Drosophila melanogaster: one gene and its partners. The gene in region 4 interacts genetically with the main gene of each other region. Each region holds a gene or a part of one and is shown on either strand. Other genes may lie near its edges.

Region 1 (7,272 bases), about 19 Mb from region 4:
GCTTTGGCTTCATAGATGGGCTGGAGGCACAGCTCAAACTGCTTGCCAAATTCCTGTTGCAAATGTTAATGGATAATGAATGACTAAGAGATCAATTATACTCAATACCTCAGCCTCCTCCAGTCGCCCCTTGCAAATCAGCTTCTTAAAACGATCACTGGGGTCGGTCTCGGAAACGAGCATCATCTCCACCACGGAGGGTATGCTGCTCTGGTTGACTTCCTTGGCAGCCAGATAATACAGATTGACCGCACACTTAGGCTGACGCACAAGCCATGCGTGATCAGGAACTTCTACCTCGTTCTTCACATTGAGCGCTGCAATGACACAAGGTTTTTAGCCTTACTGTATGTTTATGTTTTATGTTTGCTGGACTCATACTTGGGTACTCCACTATCTTAATGAAGCGTCCCTCCGCCGTTGATTTCGTCAGCACCAGAAGCTCAATGTTATCTTCGCTGCACTCCATAACCAGCAGATCCTCGATGAGCAGATTTTTTTGTTGGGTAGTTTGACACATGTACACTGTGCGAGTGTATGGACAAATCTCCACCAAGTGGCCGGAATCGGTGAGTGCGATACTGCAAAACCCAGATACACGTTAGAGGGATTCTAGCACCACAATAAGCAAACCCACTCACATATAGTGTTCCAAGTTGAAGATCTGCTTTAGGCTGCCGTACTGAGCGGGCAAATTTATTCGTGTCACGTCATTGGCTGCATTCCTAAAGTTCATAGTGCTTTGATCTCCAGTGATAACTAGACCGGGTTGCGCCTCCAGATCATCCTGATTGTTCTCGGCACTGATGTTGCCGGTCAGCAGCCGCTTGAGCAGCACTGCACAGTCCACGCTGCACGAGGATCTGCCCTTGGAAAGACGTTGAATGGTGACGTCCTCGAGCAGGGCCTTTTCGCAAGCTATAGTTTCGTTTTCATTCAGGCTCATATTGCCTAACGTTTCCAAGCAGGTCTCATCAATGTCGCTTAAGCTACACAGCGTTTGAATCGTTTAATGAAATAATGTCAAGATCCAGTTTTATCACGCATATGCCAGAGCCCATCTCTGTGAATGGCTTACCTATAGATGCTTCCATTCTTACAGGTGAAGTAAAACCGCTGATCCAGTTGATGGATGCTCCGGAAGGTCCCGCCAGTTAGGCTCACGTCCTCCAGATTGACGGCCACGCTGAACAGGAGCAGGCCCTTGATGAACACTCCGTGAACTTCGCCATCGCTGAGGCCGCATACAATCAGGTTGCCGCTTGAAGAAATGGCAATGGCCTCAATGGCTGCCCCGAATGCCAGAAAGCTGCACTTGGCCACCAGTTCGTCCTCCAGGAGCAAAAGGCTCTTGTCGATGCCAATGACCATCTTGCCGCACTGCACGGAGGCCATGACATCTGGATATTTGTTTACCTGACAATGAAAGAAGGCGAGCGTAGAAACCCAACTGCAGATTCTGCACAATAAGGACTCACTTCCTCTTCACTGCTTATTTGGAAGATGCCTCGCGACGAAAATATGTTGGAGATGGTTTCGTCCTCCAGGGAGGACGCCTCGAAGTTGCTCCACATTGCTGTTCAATCCGCTCTAGCCTAATGTGCAAAACCTGCCAATTTTAAACTCTTTATTTAAACACCGCCAATAAACAAGCGTCGCCTGAGAGTTTGCCGATAACATTACCCGCATATCGATAGACGATTGGCGGCATGAAGACACACTACGTATTGACCTTGGGGCTAATACGTTTACGCAATTTATATTTATTACTTAAATGACGTATGTCCAAATCGTAATTTCTCCTTTAAACCTATTACTTTTTAAATGTTAACGTAGTTGCAAACTACTTCGTGCTGGCTTGCTTTGGCCACACTGAGCCGCCGACGGAATTCCGGCATTTCTCTTGACGTGCGCAAACGGTCACACTGGCGGACTTGCAATGAAAATTATTTATATTTCGCTTCTTCGCACGCAAAAATTGGTCAAAATAAACAAAGGTTAATGTGCTGCTGCTATATAACGGTTCAGTGGTCAGTCCGCCGGACCGCCGAATCCGCGTAACGGTAATCCGTGCGTGTGCCGCTCCTATAAACGGCGCTAATTAAAAGTGGATGCTGCAGTGGCCATCAAATCAACAAAAAGCCAACCGAAAACGCAGGCTTCACAAATCGCGTAAACCCTAACACAATTTCCTTGGGAAATAACCGCCGGTTGTTTTGTTTTCCGATTAAAGACAAACGCAAAAAGAACCCGTAAATAAACAACAGTTAAGCGCTGCACTGCAATTAAAACGGAACGGGAAGCGCAGCGGAGGACATAAAATCGCTGGCAAGAAGAAGAGCGCTGCCAGAAAGCGCCCTTTGAAGGGTTTATGAAGGGGAATTAGTGGCAAACCGCAGTGCAGAGTGCTAAAAAAACGAACTCCTGACCTGAAGTGATCAAGGATCAGTAAGAAACTGAGAAGCGGCAGGTGCTTGGCGCTTTGAAACGAGACAACACGACGCTGGGTTTCCAGGGTAGAGTTGCCAACCCGAAAAATAAGCGGGGTTGCCGTTCGTTGCGCCGAAAGTGTTTACCTGCGTTTTGGGAGTCAGTTGCTTTAAAAACGCGATTTTCATAAGGGTCCTGGCCAGGAGATGTCTTGGTGAGTAGTTGAGGAGGACTGACCCACAGGATGCCAGATACTCATTTGGCACCCTTCACACTCCCAGGAACTCAAACTCCAGGCGGTCGCAGGCCGGATAACCGGCAGAAAGCCCAAGCCCACCAAGCATAACCCATTGTAGTTGGTCACCGAAGGATCCAGTGGATTTGTGCCCACCTCCCTAGGGACATCAGAACCAAACCCACTCCTTTACCAGCGTCGAGATCTCCTGCGCGGGATTGGCGACGCCGCTACAACCGAATTTCTTGCCCCACGCCGTTGAAGAAAAGCTGCCACCATTCGGAAGAAGAACACCTCGAATATGACCCACAATCTTGGTATGGCGCCATATCGATTGCCGGGTCCAGCGGGCGGACTCTGTCCGCCCGATTTTAAGCCGCCGCCTCCCACGGACATCATCTCGGCGCCGAGCAATCCGAAGAAGCGGCGAAAAACCTCAAGTGCCGCCAACTCCGCTGCAGCGGTGGCTGCGGCGGCGGCTGCAGCAGCTGCTGCGAATTCCATGCAGCAGCAGCAGGCGCCACCCACACCGCAGGATTTGCTGCCCCCTCCGCCAATGGGAGGCTTCGGAGACACCATTATTGCCTCGAATCCATTCGACGACAGTCCCCAGGTGTCGGCGATGTCCAGCTCAGCGGCCGCGGCGATGGCGGCCATGAATCAGATGGGCGGCGGACCAGGAGGTGGTCACTTTGGCGGCGGTGGACCGGGTGGGCACCCGCACTGGGAAGACCGCATGGGCATGGGCGGTGGACCTCCTCCCCCGCCTCACATGCATCCCCATATGCACCCGCATCATCCAGGCGGACCTATGGGTCACCCACATGGCCCACATCCGCACATGGGTGGTCCACCTCCAATGCGAGGAATGAGCCCCATGCACCCCCATCAAATGGGACCGGGACCAGGCGTCGGACTACCGCCGCATATGAATCACGGAAGGCCAGGGGGACCTGGTGGTCCTGGAGGACCCGTCCCAATGGGTAGTCCCATGGGTGGAATAGCTGGCATGGGCGGCATGAGCCCAATGGGCGGAATGGGAGGCCCCAGCATATCACCCCATCACATGGGCATGGGTGGTCTGTCGCCCATGGGAGGCGGTCCCAACGGACCCAATCCGCGAGCCATGCAGGGTTCACCGATGGGCGGTCCGGGGCAGAACTCGCCAATGAACTCACTGCCTATGGGTTCGCCAATGGGCAATCCAATTGGCAGCCCGTTGGGCCCTCCCTCGGGACCGGGCCCTGGGAATCCCGGCAATACCGGCGGACCACAGCAGCAACAACAACAACCTCCGCAGCCACCGATGAACAACGGGCAGATGGGTCCTCCTCCTCTGCACAGTCCGCTCGGAAACGGACCAACGGGTCATGGCAGTCACATGCCTGGAGGACCAATCCCAGGACCAGGTCCTGGGCCTGGCGGCCTAGTAGGTCCCGGTGGCATCTCCCCCGCGCACGGCAATAACCCGGGTGGTTCTGGGAACAACATGCTCGGCGGGAATCCCGGCGGCGGCAACAGCAACAACAACGGAAGCAATACAAGTAACGCCAGCAACAACAATCAAAATCCTCACCTCTCGCCAGCAGCCGGACGCCTGGGAGTGCCGACGTCGATGCAGTCGAATGGACCTTCGGTATCATCGGTAGCCTCCTCATCGGTTCCCTCGCCCGCCACGCCCACGCTCACGCCCACATCGACGGCCACGTCCATGTCCACGTCAGTGCCTACATCCTCGCCAGCGCCGCCCGCCATGTCACCGCATCACTCGCTAAACAGCGCCGGCCCGAGTCCGGGCATGCCCAACTCGGGACCCAGCCCGCTGCAGTCACCAGCCGGACCCAATGGCCCCAATAACAACAACAGCAATAACAACAACGGACCCATGATGGGCCAGATGATCCCGAACGCAGTTCCTATGCAGCACCAGCAGCACATGGGCGGCGGCCCACCTGGCCACGGGCCCGGACCAATGCCCGGAATGGGCATGAACCAAATGCTGCCACCGCAGCAACCCTCCCATCTTGGTCCCCCGCATCCGAATATGATGAACCACCCGCATCATCCGCACCATCATCCTGGCGGACCACCGCCGCACATGATGGGTGGACCCGGAATGCACGGCGGTCCTGCTGGAATGCCTCCTCATATGGGCGGAGGACCTAATCCGCACATGATGGGCGGTCCGCACGGGAACGCGGGTCCGCACATGGGCCACGGCCACATGGGTGGAGTACCAGGTCCAGGACCCGGACCCGGCGGCATGAACGGACCCCCGCATCCGCACATGTCCCCGCACCACGGACATCCGCATCACCACCACAATCCGATGGGCGGCCCAGGTCCAAATATGTTCGGCGGTGGTGGAGGAGGTCCCATGGGTCCCGGTGGACCGATGGGCAACATGGGGCCCATGGGAGGTGGCCCGATGGGCGGCCCTATGGGCGTAGGTCCCAAGCCGATGACAATGGGCGGCGGGAAGATGTACCCGCCGGGACAGCCAATGGTCTTTAATCCGCAGAACCCGAATGCGCCGCCCATATATCCTTGTGGCATGTGCCACAAGGAGGTGAACGACAACGACGAAGCCGTGTTCTGTGAATCCGGTTGTAACTTTTTCTTTCACAGGTAGGTCGACCAGTTTACAATAGATTAAAAAGGTCAAATAGAAAATATTATATAAATATCTAGGAACAATATTTAGTCCATATCATCATATTTTAAACTGCTTATATCCTGATAATTATCTTTTCGGAACAAAATGTTTAGGAAAGTTTATTGGAATCTCATGAGCAATTAGTCTTATCACTTCTAGTTCAAAGTTAACAGGGGATTACCCTTCAATTAATACATAAAATCAGTCAGGTGTTTTCGTTTATTCATGTTCGTCGTCGACTAACTCCACTATCATTTTTGCAGAACCTGTGTTGGCCTGACAGAGGCGGCCTTCCAAATGCTCAACAAGGAGGTGTTTGCCGAGTGGTGCTGCGACAAGTGCGTGTCTTCCAAGCATATTCCCATGGTCAAGTTCAAGTGTTGAAGCGGATCGGATTTGAAATCAGCAAAACACATCGATCAACCACCAGCGAAAGCGAGAGCAAAGCAAAAGCAACAGCACCAGCTACCCAACCACTCACTGTATAAAATATCCAAGCATTAACTCTATCTTAATTGTAAGACTTAAGCTGCTCAATAGTCAAGACCGCGACCGATCCAGAGACCCACCAGTCCCCATCCCGGCAGCTAAGCCCCGTAGCCAGAATGCGAACCACTAAAGTGCCGGAGCAGTGTTGTGAATTTGAGCTCCGGGCTTCCTGGCCAACTCGCGGCGTGCTCCTGAAACAAATAAGCAAGGCAAACCTTAACGAAAAGTGTAAACGAAATATGTTAATTGTAATATAATTGTAATTTGTGTGTGAGCGTCTGCATGTGAAGCGATCGAAGAGGACAACGTCGCAACAAGAAGACGGAATGAAAGCTGAGAAGCACTCTAGTTTGTATTATAAAAGAAAATGGATAAATCTGAAGAGCAGGCCAGGCGGGATGATGGTGCACATCTCCAATCGAATACCACTCGCCTGGCGAGAAATCCGCATGAAACACAACAGACAACCAACCACTCGTAACTATATAAACATATATCTAATGACATATTCAACACATTTGGAGATGAGTATAGGAGTTGTAACGAAATGAAATTATCATTGTGAAATTGCTGCGAACTGCATGAGTGTGTTATTTGTTATTACGAATCTATATTATTTTTATACTTGTGTGCGTTTACATTTTAAATATTTAATACGGAAGAGCGTTTCGAACGATTGATGGAACTGCATCGTCGATACATTTTACACAAAAATATTCAGCATAGTCGGAATCGGAGAATGTATAATAAGGAATCGATTGCGAACAAAAGCACAAGAAATTATGAATTCATGTGAGAAAGGTTAATTTGTAATTTAAGACGAATGTGGAGGACGCAGCGAACATAAACGATTCAAACGAGAAAAGAAATTTGTAAAAATAGGAAAACAAGAAGTACTCTAGGCTACTGCAACTATAAGTTATTTATAATTAAATAAAATACCATATAAAATAAAGTAAGTTCTAGTTATGAAGCAATTTCTCTTTGGAGGTGCGGTTTCCACGAGCTTGCAATCATTAAAATCATTTCAATGTCCTACTTTAAAAGCACCTGCCAAATAAACGCCTTCAGGTCGGGTTGCATTGCATATACATGTATTTTTAATATTTTGTTTCCATACTTAAGCTAAATGCACAGGCTAAATGGGGATAATAAACATATGCGATGCACACCGAAGGCTGCATCGCCACACAAACTTTTCGGAAATGGCCAGTAGCAATACTCAATGTTGCACATGCCGGATTGTGGACAGGGCTCTAAGATTATTACAGAGACAGTCGCTTAAAGGTACAAATTATATTTTGATTAGGCGTAACTTTCTGTTTCGTAGTTTCGTAGGGAGTTCAGATTACGTTCACAGCACGCAGGAACCAAAGGAGGTTCCTGCATGGCTCGCTGTCTTATCCAATGGCCGCCGTTATCAGCTCCGCCACGTCCTGGTCCGTGCTGCGCACCGTCAGAT
Region 2 (4,689 bases), on a different chromosome or scaffold from region 4:
AGAATTCGCAGCGCAATATTCGGCAGCAGTCTCCAAGTGCCTCGATCAACACTCCTGGCCAGGTTACTGGTAACAGTCCATTTAATCCCCAGGAGGAGGCATTATACCGCGAGAAATACAAGCAGCTGACCAAGTACATTGAGCCACTGAAGCGGATGCTTGCCAAGATCAGTAACGACGGAACCAGTAAGTAGATAATACCCTCACGTTTCGTTTTTTTCGCAGCTATTGCATTTTTAAATCGTTTGCTGATTACTGAAATGCTGTAAATGCTATAAACCGCGTCAAATAATATAATTTAAGAATTATATAATCGTTTTTGCGAGGCCAAATGCAAGGACTAACTAACCAAAAACAAAAGTTTAATGCAAACTTACTCGGGTTTATATATTTCCTAGTAGTTATATTCTCGAAGTATATGTTATCGTAAAACTAATATTATATCTTCTTTAATAGATGTGGAGAAGATGACAAAGATGAGCAAGTTGTTGGAGATTCTCTGCAATCCTACACAGCGCGTGCCGCTGGAGACTCTACTTAAGTGTGAAAAAGCGCTTGAGAAGATGGATCTCATCTCCTATTCCGGCCAGCAGTTTGGTGTAAGTATATCTACATCCAACGGGCCAATTTATTATATTCTTCGTTATACCTAGAAATCCTCAAATCCATTGCTGGAGGTTATAAATACAACGCTGCAAAGTCCTGTAGCAAATCACACATTGTATCGCACATTCCGACCCACTTTGGAGCTGCTCTTTGGTACGGATATAACAGCTCCAGTGCCCGCAAAGCGACCTCGGGTGGAAGAAAAGTCCACGTCTTTTGAGCAGGAAGTGCCACATGTGCTTCAAGGGGAAATTGCTAGGCTCGATACCAAGTTTAAAGTGAAATTGGACACCACGTCACAGATCAACAACAAGGCCATTCGCTTGATTTGTTGCCTGGATGACAAAAGGTTGCCTAGTGTTCCGCCCGTAAGTGTGAGTGTGCCGGAGGAATATCCGTGGCAGGCTCCGGACTGCTCCTTGGCGGAACAGGAGTATTCAGCCACCCCCTTCCTGCAGACGGTGCAACAAGCTCTCATTGCCCGCATCTCGAAGTTGCCCAAGAACTACTCGCTCTCACATTTGTTGGACACCTGGGAGATGGCCGTGCGACAGGCGTGTTCCCCGCAATCGAAACCCAGAGCAGTCTGTGAACTTTCCACTTTGCTGGGAGTTTAGCCCAACTATTTGGTTAAATTCAACTATAACATTAAATCTTAAGCTAAAAGTGCGTACGCTGCAAAAAAATTACTATTTATTTTAAAATCTTTCTAATTTCTGTTTTGTTCTAGATATATTTTTATATTTGTTGGAAGTTTTACCTAACTATCCGGCCTAATCAACTATAAACATTTTTTCTATTTACGCTGGGCAAAAAGTGTGGAAAGTTTAGTAAGTTTATATCTTGTTTAATTTTAAATCAATGGATATTGAAAATTTTAATTTCATTTTAGATTCCCAAAATGCCCCTCTGTTTTGGGTAAATACATTTTAACATATAAGACAAATGGCTTTTATAGCTAAAATAAAATAAAACCAATTATTTCAAAGAATATTGAGCTGCACCGCATTGAAACATCCTTCTATATACACAACACACTCATCCACTCATCAAGCAAAAAACATTCCACACTCAAGACTTAGTTCAATACCAAAATGGGGCTACATACTTTGCAAATTGTTTCAGTCGGATGAGATTTTTAAAAAGGTAAGCATAAACAATTTGGAATAGGGCTTGTCATTCTAAAAAAAAATTAAGTCACCGCAATAGACTTCTGCCCAATTACGCTTCCCTCCCAATTCATAGAATAACTTTAGTTTTCTTTGGAAAATATGTATATTTTCATTTGTTGAGATTGGAATCGTGCGATGATCCATTATTCTATTTGTTTTCATTTTCTTTTTTTCACATTTAGCAATAAATACAATTGTGTGTGTTTTAGCTTAAGAGAATTACACTGACAACTATGGTACAATAGAAAAGAGTTAAGAAAACTTAAATATCACAGATGTTGGACGCCGAATGCGTCTCTTTATAGTATGTACAAACACTAGGGATATTCAGAATATTAATCTGAAGAAGATCGCTTAGATAAGAAGTGTGCTGTGTGCTCCTGGAAAGAAGTGGCATCTATCCGATTTGGGTATTACGTATTGAATTTGAAGTTGATATATGCACAAAACGGTGACAAGATCTAGCTCCTAACTAAGCTTAAGTCTACACCAGCTACATGAGAGCGAGAAGGCATTTCGAATTTGACTCAGATGTTAATTTGTTTTGAAATTTGGTGGGAATTCATCTCTGTTTAGCTGGCGATACTGTGGGGCTGAGATTGGTTCTGATGCTGCTCGCATTGCTCTTCTCATCGCTGCACTTGAAGCAGGGTTCCGCCGAAGGTGAAACTGCTGGCCTGCTGCTGTAGCCTCAGCAGATCTTGGGCGCTGTAGACTTGCAAGCTGGCGGAACTGATGGGCGAGGAACTAGCGCTGGAGCCCGCCGGTGCTATCGCTCGCAAATGGAGCGAGGCATCGCAGAGGGAAGCCGCTACCGAAGCTGATGTGTTGTTGTTGGCCAGGGAGACATGTCGATTCACTCCGTTCGCCTTGTCCTTGTTGTGCCGTTTGACGTGCTTCGACAGGTGATCGCTTCTCATGAATTTCTTCTGGCAGACGCTGCACTGGAATTTCTTTTCACCGGTGTGGGTCCGTTTGTGTCGGGACAACTCATCGGAACGGGAGAATCGTTTGTCACAGTTCTCCCACTTGCAGATAAAGGGTCGCTCGCCGGTGTGAACCCTCTGGTGGGCCTTCAGATGACTGCTTTTGAAGTAATTCTTGCCGCAATCGGGAAAACTGCACTCGTAGATGCGACTTCTGGTGGCCGCCGCCTGGGCGGCCGTAATTCTGGTTGTTAGTTTCTCCTCGGACATTGTTGGCGTTTTGGGTACGGGTGTGGGGCTCTGTTGGGCGGCCACTGTGCTGAGCAGGATAAGTTGGCTGGCAGACGAAGCTACTGGGCTAACATATATCGGTGTCAGAATAGGTTTTATTTCCTCCTCCTTGATGCATTCCGCTGGAGCAGGTGGCGTTACAAGCTTCGCAACTGGTGTCTCGGGTGTTTGTACTGGGGGTAGTGCCACTTCTGCAGCACGCTTTCTGTTCATTTTGAACTTGAGATTGCGCCACACATTGGCCTCTGGATAGTCGTCCTCCACAGTGGGTGGTACTGAACTTGTACTTGTGTTTGTGTTGGAAGAGGAACTACAGCAGGAGGTGGAACTAGATGAGTTCTCGTCTTGGCTACTAGAAGAGACAGCGCCAGAACTGTTGACCCGCATGATGACGCTAACCCTTTCCGCTTTCTGATCATCGTCCAGCTTTTGATCCGGCGGCGGTGTCATGCTCATAGCAGGTTGTTCCAAACGGGGTTTCTTGTTGGGAACCGCTATTTCGGGAGCCTCGTCTTCCGTGTCCGATGGATTTGGTGTAATAATCCCTCCATTTTTCTGACTCTTTTGGGCCACCAGCTTGAGCTTTGCCTTTAGCAGATTCTCGTTCACCTGTTGTTCGTCCTTGGCGACCTGGAAAAGGAAAGAACAAGTTCAGGGTTAGTCAGAGTTCGTTAACATTGTCGAGTTTATGTTCTGAGGAGTGCATTCACATTCACAGTCCCATTCACTTTTCGCTGACCAGCATTGACCCACAATAACTTTTCCTCGCAATTCGCTAATTACGCCGGCGGCTGACAAGGCCGTTCACCGTTAACCTTCACACACCCTGCAATACCCCGCCCAACCCCAGGTTCAATGCTCCTTCGAAAGGCCAAGGGAACTTTGTTTTTGGCGGTTTTTGAACTCTTTTAAAGGCCGTTTGGGGTGACAGAATATTACTCATTAACTGTTGCTGCCAGCTGTGCTTTAAATTATAGACGTATGTAAATGTTAAAGGTGAATACTGTATTGATGACCACATAAAAGTCTTTAAATTGATGTGCTCCTGACAGAAACAAAAAATGTCTTAAAATTTTAAAAACTGTTCTTAATATGGACTTTTCAAATTTCACTACTTAATTTTTAAGGATGAAAACATGAGCAACTGTTGCGTTTTCGGCGCATATTCTAGAACCATTTAAAAATTGCGCCTAAAAGCATGCAAGGAAAATGCAGCCACACCACCAGTATTATTATGACGTGCCTCAGGTGGGTGATTTCATGGGGAAGGCGAATGCGAGGGGTGTATTATGACTCGTGCGAAGACGTCGAAATCTTTTTATGGGCTCGGCACGTTGCGCTCTAATGTGCGACAGTGTTTGTTTGTTTCTTTCTTGGCCAGATAAAAAACGAGCCAGAAATGTGACATGGTTTTATGGGTTGGGGCTTGGCCTGTTTGCCTAGCTTTTGGCTAGGCCCTCTCTTTCCTCTCACACTCCACCGCTCGCCTACAGTTGCCAATTGGCAACTCACCTTCTCTCTTTTGCTTTTCTGTTGTTTTTTCCTAGTGGTGCCAAGTCCAATGTTCAGCTGCGGCCTCTCGCTCGCACTCACACATCACTCGCTGTGCATGCGGTGTTCACGTGAAAGCGTGTTGGCTGCGTGATCGCATGGCTGTGTGCGAGTGCGAGCGGGACGAGGCACTTTGTTTTTAG
Region 3 (4,554 bases), on a different chromosome or scaffold from region 4:
AGCAGGGAAAAAGGGCAACCATAAGGAAGAGTGAGGGGAAAAAGTGGAGAAAGTCGAGGAAATCAGCCCGGCACACTTTGCCTTTTCTGCCGCAGGCTAAAAGTCGTCGTCGCTTTCAATTATAGCCGTGAGTTTTCTCTGTCCGGCCAACACACACACACACACACACTTCCATACACACCTATACAGTTGGCAGGAAGCCATAAACACACACACACGCACTTAAGCGGCAGGGCAGTCTACACCCACACACAGCCATTAGCCTAATGTGTGTGCTTATTGCGCACGCTTTGGAACAGACGCAGGTTGAATTTTGGGGGAAAATTCAAGAGAGGTGGGAAATTCAAGGCGGGTGGTGGTTGTGAAAAAGCCCACTGAGCTAACGAAGCCACAATCCCCAAACCAAAAGCCGAGTCCCCCTCGAAAACCAAAACGAAATGGATGCTAAGGATAAGGCAACCGCAACTTGCCACTTTGTCTTCTCGTGGGGGAGAAGGGGGTGGGGGGTGGCAAATCAGAAGAGGGGGCCGTGGGTGGTGTCTGGTCTGGGCCAACCGCAAACAAACAAACAGAAGAGCGCAACAGAGACAGAGACACTAGCGGCAGCCAGAAAAAGAGAGCAACACCATCTCTGTATCTGTATCTGGTTCTGTATCTGTATCTACAGCTGCATCGGAGTCTGCTCTGCCTCCATTTCGGTATATAGATATGCAGAGATATATAAAGCGCAGTCTACATGTAGTCGAGTGCATAATGAATGCGAAGATGTGCCCGCCCTATTATCCTGACTCCTCCCTCAACTCGAGCTGGCTGTCTGTGTATCTCAAAGATACATAGCCGTATTCTGATAGGAAAAATCGAGGGGTAAATAAGGCCATCGCACTCTCTCTCTCTTGCTCATTCTCTGTCCCTGTCTCGTTGATGGCCATCTCCCTCTGTTATCCTTTCTGTGGCCACTGGCACTAAGGATTCGAATCAGAATCACCAAGTTTCAGATAATAATAATGACTGCAAACTGACACAGATTTCAAGGGGCGAGAAAGAGAGCTGTTCTCGCCGCGAAAGAGAAGGAGGAACAGAATCCGAGAGAGAGAGAGTGTGTGAGCGCAGGCTGGAGATACATATATAAACGCACTGTTAAAGATACAGATGCTGCACTCTCTCTCTCTTTCTCTCTCCCTCTCTCCACCGATGTTGCTCTCCAGTTTCATCCCCTATCCTTTTGGTTATGCTTTACGAAAGATAGCCAGGACATCAGGGCGATCCTCTGGGAGATGGGATGAGATTTTCGGTTGGGAGAGAGGAGCGGAAACAACCACCATGGCGAATGGATAGCCAACCAGCCAACCGGCCCGAAAAATTCCCATTCAAACCGAGAATCCGAGTCCGGCAATCCGAGAATCCGAGAATCCTCATCGCCTCCAGACAATTCAGTTTCAGTTCGTTGCTGAGCGTGCTGGCAATCGGAATCGGAAAATCACACTCGCTTTTCGCTGCCGCCGTTTGCACTCTCGGTCGCCGTCGACGTCGACGTCGCTGCCACACAATTCTGTTTCTGCTTGTTTCTTTGCATTTATATTTTTTGCGTTATCGCCGCTTCTTTTCCTGGCTGGCTGGCTGGCAGCAGTCTTGCGAAGACAACCGGCAGATAGAGACGACACCCATCAAATAAATAAATATCCGTTAAAATCGTAGCAATATCGGTACCTACATAAAGCAACATCAAGCATACGCAGTGTTGGCCGCGCAGAAAATGTCACATCGCGTGTTATGAAAATATTTGCCAGCGATCTGTTTATTGTGATAATTACAAGTAACGTTTGAAAGCGGAATCATGCTGTTCGATCGATATGTCATATCAGGTTGGTTCCACGCCGTGTTAATAAACAAAAGTTGGTATCTCGCACTGCGGCTTACAGGGAATCGCAGTTCCCTGAACTGAATCAGTTACTTTGAAAACAGTTTACAACGGCCCTAACTTAAACAGAAGCCAAGTGAATCAGTTTGAACAAATCCACCCATTAGTTGATCGATTGTTTTTTAGCCCTAAAACATCAATGACAAAAATTGTGACAAATCAAGTGCTTAAAATAAGTGGTGTCGTGGTTTTATCTCCTATTGTCTTGGCCCTAATTAAAACATTCGTTTATAAATAAACTACGAATTTTTTTAGACTTACAGGAAATTGAAGGCTTGCCATTCAAATATAATTTGAACAAATTATATCAACCCAGCTAAAATACTTATTGCCTGTTAATAAATTGGCATATACCATTGAAAATAATTGAAGTAGTGAAAAAAATTAGGCGAAAACATTTTTTAAGAGCTCTATATCTCGGGCCACAAAAAACATCTTTTAATCTAGTTTCCTTACTAAACTTGCCGCAACTTTTAATGACCAAACTAAAACCGAAGTAAGCCCTAAGTAAACCCATTAAAATCGATCCCCACTTATCAAGCCCCCACACACTGGCAATCAAGCGTTTATGGCCAGTTTTATCAGCAGACCAAACCCAAATGTGATTACCTAAAACACAAATTAGCCGAAGGTCCCGTTGAAAAAACACTTGCGCTTGGGTAAAAGCGAAAACTAAAGAAAACCAGAGTGATTAACAATTGGGTTGTCAAATAGAGCCGAGGATAAACGCGAGATGAGTGGTTGCGAGGGCGGTCTTTGAAGTGTAGGCCACTTCAAAAAGATTTCGCTAAATGGTGTGAAGCCGTCGGGGTTCGCGATCGAAGTGCCAGGATACTGTGCAAACAGAGTGTGCCGCAGGATGTGCGAAATGCAGCAGGTTGTTTCGGGTCGAGAACTCCAAACGTAGTTTGCTTTGTGTTTGGCCATTGTTTGCGAGCCATTGGTTTGCGGTCTACTTATATGGCCGATACTTATCTGTTTCGGGGTAATGTTACTGTTACTCCGTAGTTACTGTTACCATTCGTATGCTCGTTATCTTCGAAGCGCTGTCATATTTTGTCTAACAGCTCAAATTACGATTTAGTTTCAAGTGTTCGAACAAGGCGGATGGACAAGACAAGAAACCAAACAGCAAACAACAACTAGTAGTTGCTCAAATATCAATAATCGCCGGGTAATTTGTCCGTGTATACTTATGTTCCGAGCCCACCGATTATCGGTATCTTAAAGAAGTGGGTGCTATTTTTTTCAAATGACACCATGGGAATGCACTCACAATGTCATCACCACCCATCTGAAATAGTGCAAAATATTATGGGAGTTCTAAGGGTAAAAATCAAATTACCCCTGATTCTACTGTCACTAAGCTGACTCATCAAGTCGTCTAGTGAAGTTTATTTTATCTATTCAATCGGCAAAAGTCAATCCAGTCACATCAATTAAATGTGAAGATAAGCAGCAAATCTAAGCAACTTAAGTCGGAATTATTGTGTCAACAAAATAGTTTAAATATTTCCCGTCGATATTTATCCAGTTTTTATTTGCTCAGCCTGCTTGGATTAGACAGGAAAACAGACGAGGTAACTGATACGCCCTGTCTGTGGAAAGGGTAGAGACACCTGTCTTGCCGGGAAGATAGGAGCCACATAGAGTGGGCAGTGATAGACGGTCCCAGCCGTGCATTGCAAAATCCCCAAAGACACCTTTATATATAAAACCGGGCAACGATTGTCATCTCGACGTGAAGAGTCATTGGCTTTATCTATTTTATTTTGGGAGTGAATTGACAGCCAACAACTGATTAGGATTAGTGCTTTGAGTGCTTGCCAGCGGTCGGAAAAGTCATTTCTAATCGCTGTCTATTTCTTATCCGCTTCGATTGTTAACAGGCTCCGGAGGCGACGACTTCGATCCAAGTGCAAGTGTAGCGCGCCACCATCATCACCTCCATCACCTGGATCTGAGTGCCAGGAGTCAGGGCTTCAATCCACTGTCTGAACAAATCGAGGATTCATTCGCCGCCCGCCATCACTTACCGCAGCAGGAGCCCGTGGAAGGATCTCCGCCGAGGCGGGATCATCTTGATATACAGGATCAGGAGCTACTTCACCATCCCAATCATTTCCACCAGCAGAACCAGCGACAACAGCCACCGCCTCCCACGTTGCCGCTGTCCGTGGAATCCTCCTCCGCCGCAGCCGCCTCCGTCGACGGCATGGATGCCTTCTTCAAGGACCGCGCCCAGGCGGAGCACATCCTGCAGGAGTGGGTGCGTAGGCGCGAACCAGTCTGTGAGCTGGACATCCGTGATAGTGGTGGCGTCTACGCCAAGACGCCGCTCCAGAGGGGCACTCGCTACGGACCCTTTCCCATGAAGCTCAGCCACCAACCCAACGATCCTCAGCTGGCCTGGAAGGTAAGTAGTTTTGACAATCCTTGAAAAAGAGATAAATAATTTTTTAAGTTCTGAGAAGTAAATATAACTGTGGGGAAGGAGTAGAAAATACATTGAATATTTAGAATCGAACGATAGATAGAAAACTTGTAGTCTAAAGTTGATTGTTGGATCTGATATTTTGTAATGCTTTGCATAACTTATTAAACTACTTTCTAACGATGATTTAAATATATTTTAG
Region 4 (4,625 bases):
ATATTATCTCAAGAGTAAGTTATCAAGTTACCCAATATATATATATATATATAAAAGAAGAAAAAAATCAATCCATTTATAATCCTACAACAGGGCTGCTGATGATTCCGACAAGGAGGCGTCACAGGAACTGCTCCTGAGTCCCAATCCGCTGCCCATTTTCGGGCCCATAAGGAAAACAAGGAAAGCAAAATCGAGGAGTTCCAAGAAGAACAATAGTAAGGCCTCCTCCTCGTCCGCTGGCAGTACAAAGAGTTCGTCGTCGGGTACCAGATCATCTGAAGATCGTTTAACTGGAGGTGGAGCCCAGGAGAAGCCATCGGATCCGGTCTCCACATCCTCGAGCTATTCGCTAAGATCAGGATATGACGCTCCGCCCGTGGAGGCCAGTGCCCGTGCCGACTTCCTTGAATCGCAAGCGGCCAAAAGCATCGACGAAGATGTCCGGAAGATGCAGCTGGAGCTCAAGCAGAGCTACGAACTCTTCCAGGGCATTGGCGAGAAATTGGAGTCGGTTAGCTTCACGGGCTTGAAGGACCGCATACGGGACCTGCACCTAAACGAATCCAACAACGAGTTGGGCAAAGCGACGACTGCAGAGCTTCAGATGATGTTCGACCAGCGTTTCCTGCAAAATCGCCTGGACAAGCTATCCACGGACGCCACGCAGGGATTCCGTCGGCATCCCGGCGAATTCGGCGACATACCCGAGCTGAGCACCTTCTTCCAGGCATGCACTCAGTTGGAACGCGGACTGGATGCACTGCGTCAGCAGCGGCGGCGCAACAGCGAGCTGGAGAAGCGTCTGTGCTGGGCCACCGAAATCGCATACGATCGCATGGACGAGATTCGCAATGCGGTTGGCTCGGATCCGGAAAAGAACTTCTGAATTGGTGACCTGTAGTTACATTTTTGGTTCACCCTAAGGTTCATTACCCGCACACAAACACACACACAGGCAAACACGCACAGGTGCAATACATATGCGTTTATCCCACACCCATAGGCGATGCAATAATTGATTGTGTTATCTTCTGGGCCGCAGCTGGGTTGTTACTCACCCGAGTCCGTGTACCAGCTGCCTGCATGGGTTGCTCTTCTGGCCGACATTTTGTGCGAGATCCCTAATCGGTCTGTTTAGTTAGTAAGAGCTATTAACTGGCCGTTACTTGTAGAAAAAACGAGTTCTTTGTTATTGGTACAGCAGTGTGACCGTCGTCTTGTTTTTGAAATAAACACGTTCTCTGGATTCGCTGATCAGCGGTCACACTTCTTCAGGGCTGCATTAAGTACTTAAATATCGTTTTTTTTTTGGTATAATCATATATACCATTAATACTTTTTTATTATTCTAAATAATAAATCACACAAATAAAATACAATACATAAGGTAACGTAATTTTATTTAAGTGTTGTTTTTTATTAATTTCCATAAATGAAATCGCATAACATATACAACTGAAACTCACGGAAGTCGAAAGTCGGAATTCTGCAATACCAACATTTCAAACTATACCATAATTCTTGCAGTTTGCCTGCGCGCACCGAGGTATTTTCGAACGACCCGTGTGCGGTCACACTGTTCGCATAGCGTCATTGCTGTACTAAAACCTAAAAATCCGCCGTGTTCGTATTCCGCCATTTTGAAAGCTGCGAGTGGAATTTGGACGCGTTGCTGGTAAATTAATTGTGGGAAAACTGCCCAAAAAGTGCATAAAATTTGTGAAAAGTGGTCGGCAACGGTGCATGAGACCCGCCGCCAAGTGTTTGTCCCCGAAAATTGTGTGTGGCCGCGTTTTTGGCACGTGAATTTCTTGCCCAATTGTGAACTCGCAAAAAAAGAAAAAGAAAAGAGAGAAGAAAACCGACGCCGCCGTCGCCGCCGCCACAAAGGAATAGGCGAATAAGCGAGAGAAAAAAAGGCGAAAACGAGAGCTGAAAATCAAATTGTGCGCCGCTGATTGCGTTTCAGCTATTTAATAATACCACAATCGAAAATCCGCGGCAGCGGCGATTTTTCCACGGATTACTACACCATATATTTCCCATTTGCCTTTCCGTTTGCAACGAGTGTGCGCCTGTGCCTGTGTGCGTGCGTGTGTGTGAGTGTGCGATAAACGTGTACAAGAAAAATTTAAACGTGCAGAATTCTGATGAATTTTAAAGCGGAACTGCTATTGCCTGTATAGGTGATGCGGGTGTGCGTGTGTGGGTACGCACACACACATGACCAAGTATTGTTGCGGTTTAATGCAAAAGTCGAGTGAGTGCGTGTGTGAGTGAGTGAGAGAGAGAGAGAGAGAGCAATGCCTGCCATATTCTATGCAAAACATAAATAAAATTGTGCAATAATTTCCCCGCACACGCACACAGCCACAGATACATACACTCTCTTTGTAATTTATATTTTTTTCCGCCCGCCTAGTGACAATACACACGCAAGGTTCACTGCGCAACGTCCCCCTTTTCTCAAGCACCCCCCTTTTGCCCACGCCACTGCAACATGCTGTCTCATCGTTGTTGTTTTGCCGCCGCCACATTTGGTGCGACAGAGAGAGAAAGAGCGAGCTAGCGCGAGTGCAAGAGAAAGGGTGGGAGGGAGAGGCCAAAAGCAACGAGTTTGAAAACCAACTAAAGCCTCATGTTGACACATTTCAACCGGGAGTTTTCGTTCTTTCGCTCGGATTAAAAGCCTTTAAAGGGTGAAAGTGCTGCTTATCGTTTCTTCTTCGCGAACTAAAGCTTTAAAAGTATAAATAGCTTTTATTTCCTGCGCCCGCATATTGATTGCAAATTACAAGCGCACACACTTACTCAACAACCGTTGCGATTGTTTGTTTGTGTGTGTTTATGCCGATTTGAATACACAACCAAGTGAAAAAGTTTGATCAACTTACGAATGTCCATTCAAATTGATGCTTGTTTCTAGTTTTCTTACAATTTTTGCGCTTGTCGTGTTTTTGTCATAGCTTCTTCTATCTCTATCGCTCTCTCTCTTCTCTCTTGTTCGTTCGCCCTTTCACTGTTCGACGTGCCTGTACCCATCACACACATACAAACGTATACGTCATACACACACACACACGCACACATGAAGAGGCAGACAGACAAGCAACTCTGGGCTCCCCCCTCCCTAAACCTCTCCCCTCCCAGCCACATACTGCCGCACTTGCAACGGGAATGTTGTTGGTATTGCTCGCAGTGCTCAAAACTCCGAAGAGGATTACAAATGGTGTTTTTGTTTTTGCCCAAAAACGGAAATACAGACAAACTTCTGCCACATAAAGAGTTCAAATTATAGCGACTGTTAGTTGTTTAGTCATTTGTTGTATTCCCCGCAACTTTTTGCGCACTTTTGGGGTATCTAGACTGATTACAAACCCTTAAAAGCAGCAGGCACAATTGAAATTATTGATTGCCTTAAAGTTAAAGTTAATTGCGGTTATGAAATTTTTGGCTAATTGTTCGTCATTGGGCAAAAATGAAATGCTGAGGAATTTGCTTTATAAAAACACTTAAATTTATAGTTATTAGCCACTGAATTTGTATTGCAGTCGTTAAGAATTCTTCCTACCCAATGTAGTTTTCGCTATAGAATAAATAGAAATATGGAAATATGTGGCAGAGAGAGCCGCTTTTCCCGTTTCCACTTCAATATTTGCATTGCCATGGAATTTTCTATATATATAGTCCATCGATAACTGTACATGTTGCTGAATTTGTTGTTACTAGTTTTTTTGGCGCAACAACGTTTTCCGCTTCTTGTCACTGCCCTTTTTTGGCAAATAATAAATTTGATTGTGTATGGGCTGCCCACTCCCACTAGCTAACGGTTATTTATTGTCAATGCCAGGCGATGCCGCCCACTGCCACGCCTCGTACGACCCCCCCCCCCAATCCGTTTGATGCTCTGTGTTTTTGCGCAATGTTTGTTGTTGTGTGTTTGCCGCCGACTGCGCGCGTGAAAAAATGCACACCTGCCCAAAGAATTTCACACTTGGTGGTGCACGGGGCGCAAAACAAAGCGAAAGCAGCCACCAAAATAGCAGGCAAACGTTTAAATTTAAACACAAAAGTCCGAGGAACTAAAATTCGACCAGAAACACAATGGCAGCCATGTGTGCCTCATATTCTTGTATTTTTTTTCTGCGCTCTATCTCTATCGATCTGAAAGGCAAATACAACGCAATTCGGTTGATGGTACAGGCTCTAATACCCTTAAAGCTAAATTGTCCAAGTTATAAATTTGTTGAAAATGAATGATAGTTTACAAATTCGGATGTCTTTCATCTATTCAGCGGTGGAAAGATGTATTTTGGCCAGCTAATCGTTGCATGTTTGATGGCAAACCTTTCGCCATATCTGCTATACTCCTGCGCAAGCACTTTTCAAATGAAAACAGAAAACACACACTTTCAGATGGCTCAGCCAAATTCGTCCAAAACAACAGATGCAGCGATATGGCAACAATAATAAATAGAAATAGCCAAGCAGCCGCAAAACGCAGAATCAGCAATTCGTAAGCGTGCGAGGCAATAATATATACATATATATATATATATAAATTGTATTTCATTTGATTTTTTCCCACTTCTGGTCACTTGCCACTCGGCTATGCTGGCTTG

What was found.
Region 1: of CtBP (region 4) and pygo, changing one suppresses a phenotype caused by changing the other (phenotypic suppression), as found in Drosophila melanogaster (one study listed by BioGRID).
Region 2: of CtBP (region 4) and ush, changing one suppresses a phenotype caused by changing the other (phenotypic suppression), as found in Drosophila melanogaster (one study listed by BioGRID).
Region 3: of CtBP (region 4) and ham, changing one suppresses a phenotype caused by changing the other (phenotypic suppression), as found in Drosophila melanogaster (one study listed by BioGRID).

Annotation. Positions count from the first base shown.
Region 1 is NT_033777.3:31,575,325-31,582,596, reverse strand, and holds pygo (pygopus), read left to right. Parts: upstream 1-1,897; 5' UTR 1,898-2,644; intron 2,645-2,711; 5' UTR 2,712-2,966; coding exon 2,967-5,293; intron 5,294-5,584; coding exon 5,585-5,705; 3' UTR 5,706-6,762; downstream 6,763-7,272. Other genes in the region: rod (rough deal), read right to left, coding at 1-53, 109-317, 382-581, 642-989, 1,079-1,416, 1,479-1,574; gammaCOP (coat protein (coatomer) gamma), read right to left, coding at 7,211-7,272. UniProt on the Drosophila melanogaster protein: Involved in signal transduction through the Wnt pathway.
Region 2 is NT_033779.5:474,580-479,268, forward strand, and holds the start of ush (u-shaped), read left to right. Parts: upstream 1-1,640; 5' UTR 1,641-1,752; intron 1,753-1,866; exon of another isoform or gene 1,867-2,407; coding exon of another isoform or gene 2,408-3,625; exon of another isoform or gene 3,626-4,689. Other genes in the region: MED15 (mediator complex subunit 15), read left to right, coding at 1-186, 457-599, 654-1,223; cbt (cabut), read right to left, coding at 2,408-3,625. UniProt on the Drosophila melanogaster protein: Transcription regulator that modulates expression mediated by transcription factors of the GATA family such as pnr and srp. Represses transcription of proneural achaete-scute complex (AS-C), which is usually activated by pnr.
Region 3 is NT_033779.5:18,779,585-18,784,138, reverse strand, and holds the start of ham (hamlet), read left to right. Parts: upstream 1-1,538; 5' UTR 1,539-1,834; coding exon 1,835-1,862; intron 1,863-3,807; coding exon 3,808-4,334; intron 4,335-4,554.
Region 4 is NT_033777.3:13,010,071-13,014,695, forward strand, and holds the start of CtBP (C-terminal binding protein), read left to right. Parts: upstream 1-1,578; 5' UTR 1,579-1,678; exon of another isoform or gene 1,679-2,102; intron 2,103-4,625. Other genes in the region: CG8031 (uncharacterized protein), read right to left, coding at 1,062-1,110; CG11656 (uncharacterized protein), read left to right, coding at 1-14, 94-889. UniProt on the Drosophila melanogaster protein: Corepressor targeting diverse transcription regulators. Hairy-interacting protein required for embryonic segmentation and hairy-mediated transcriptional repression.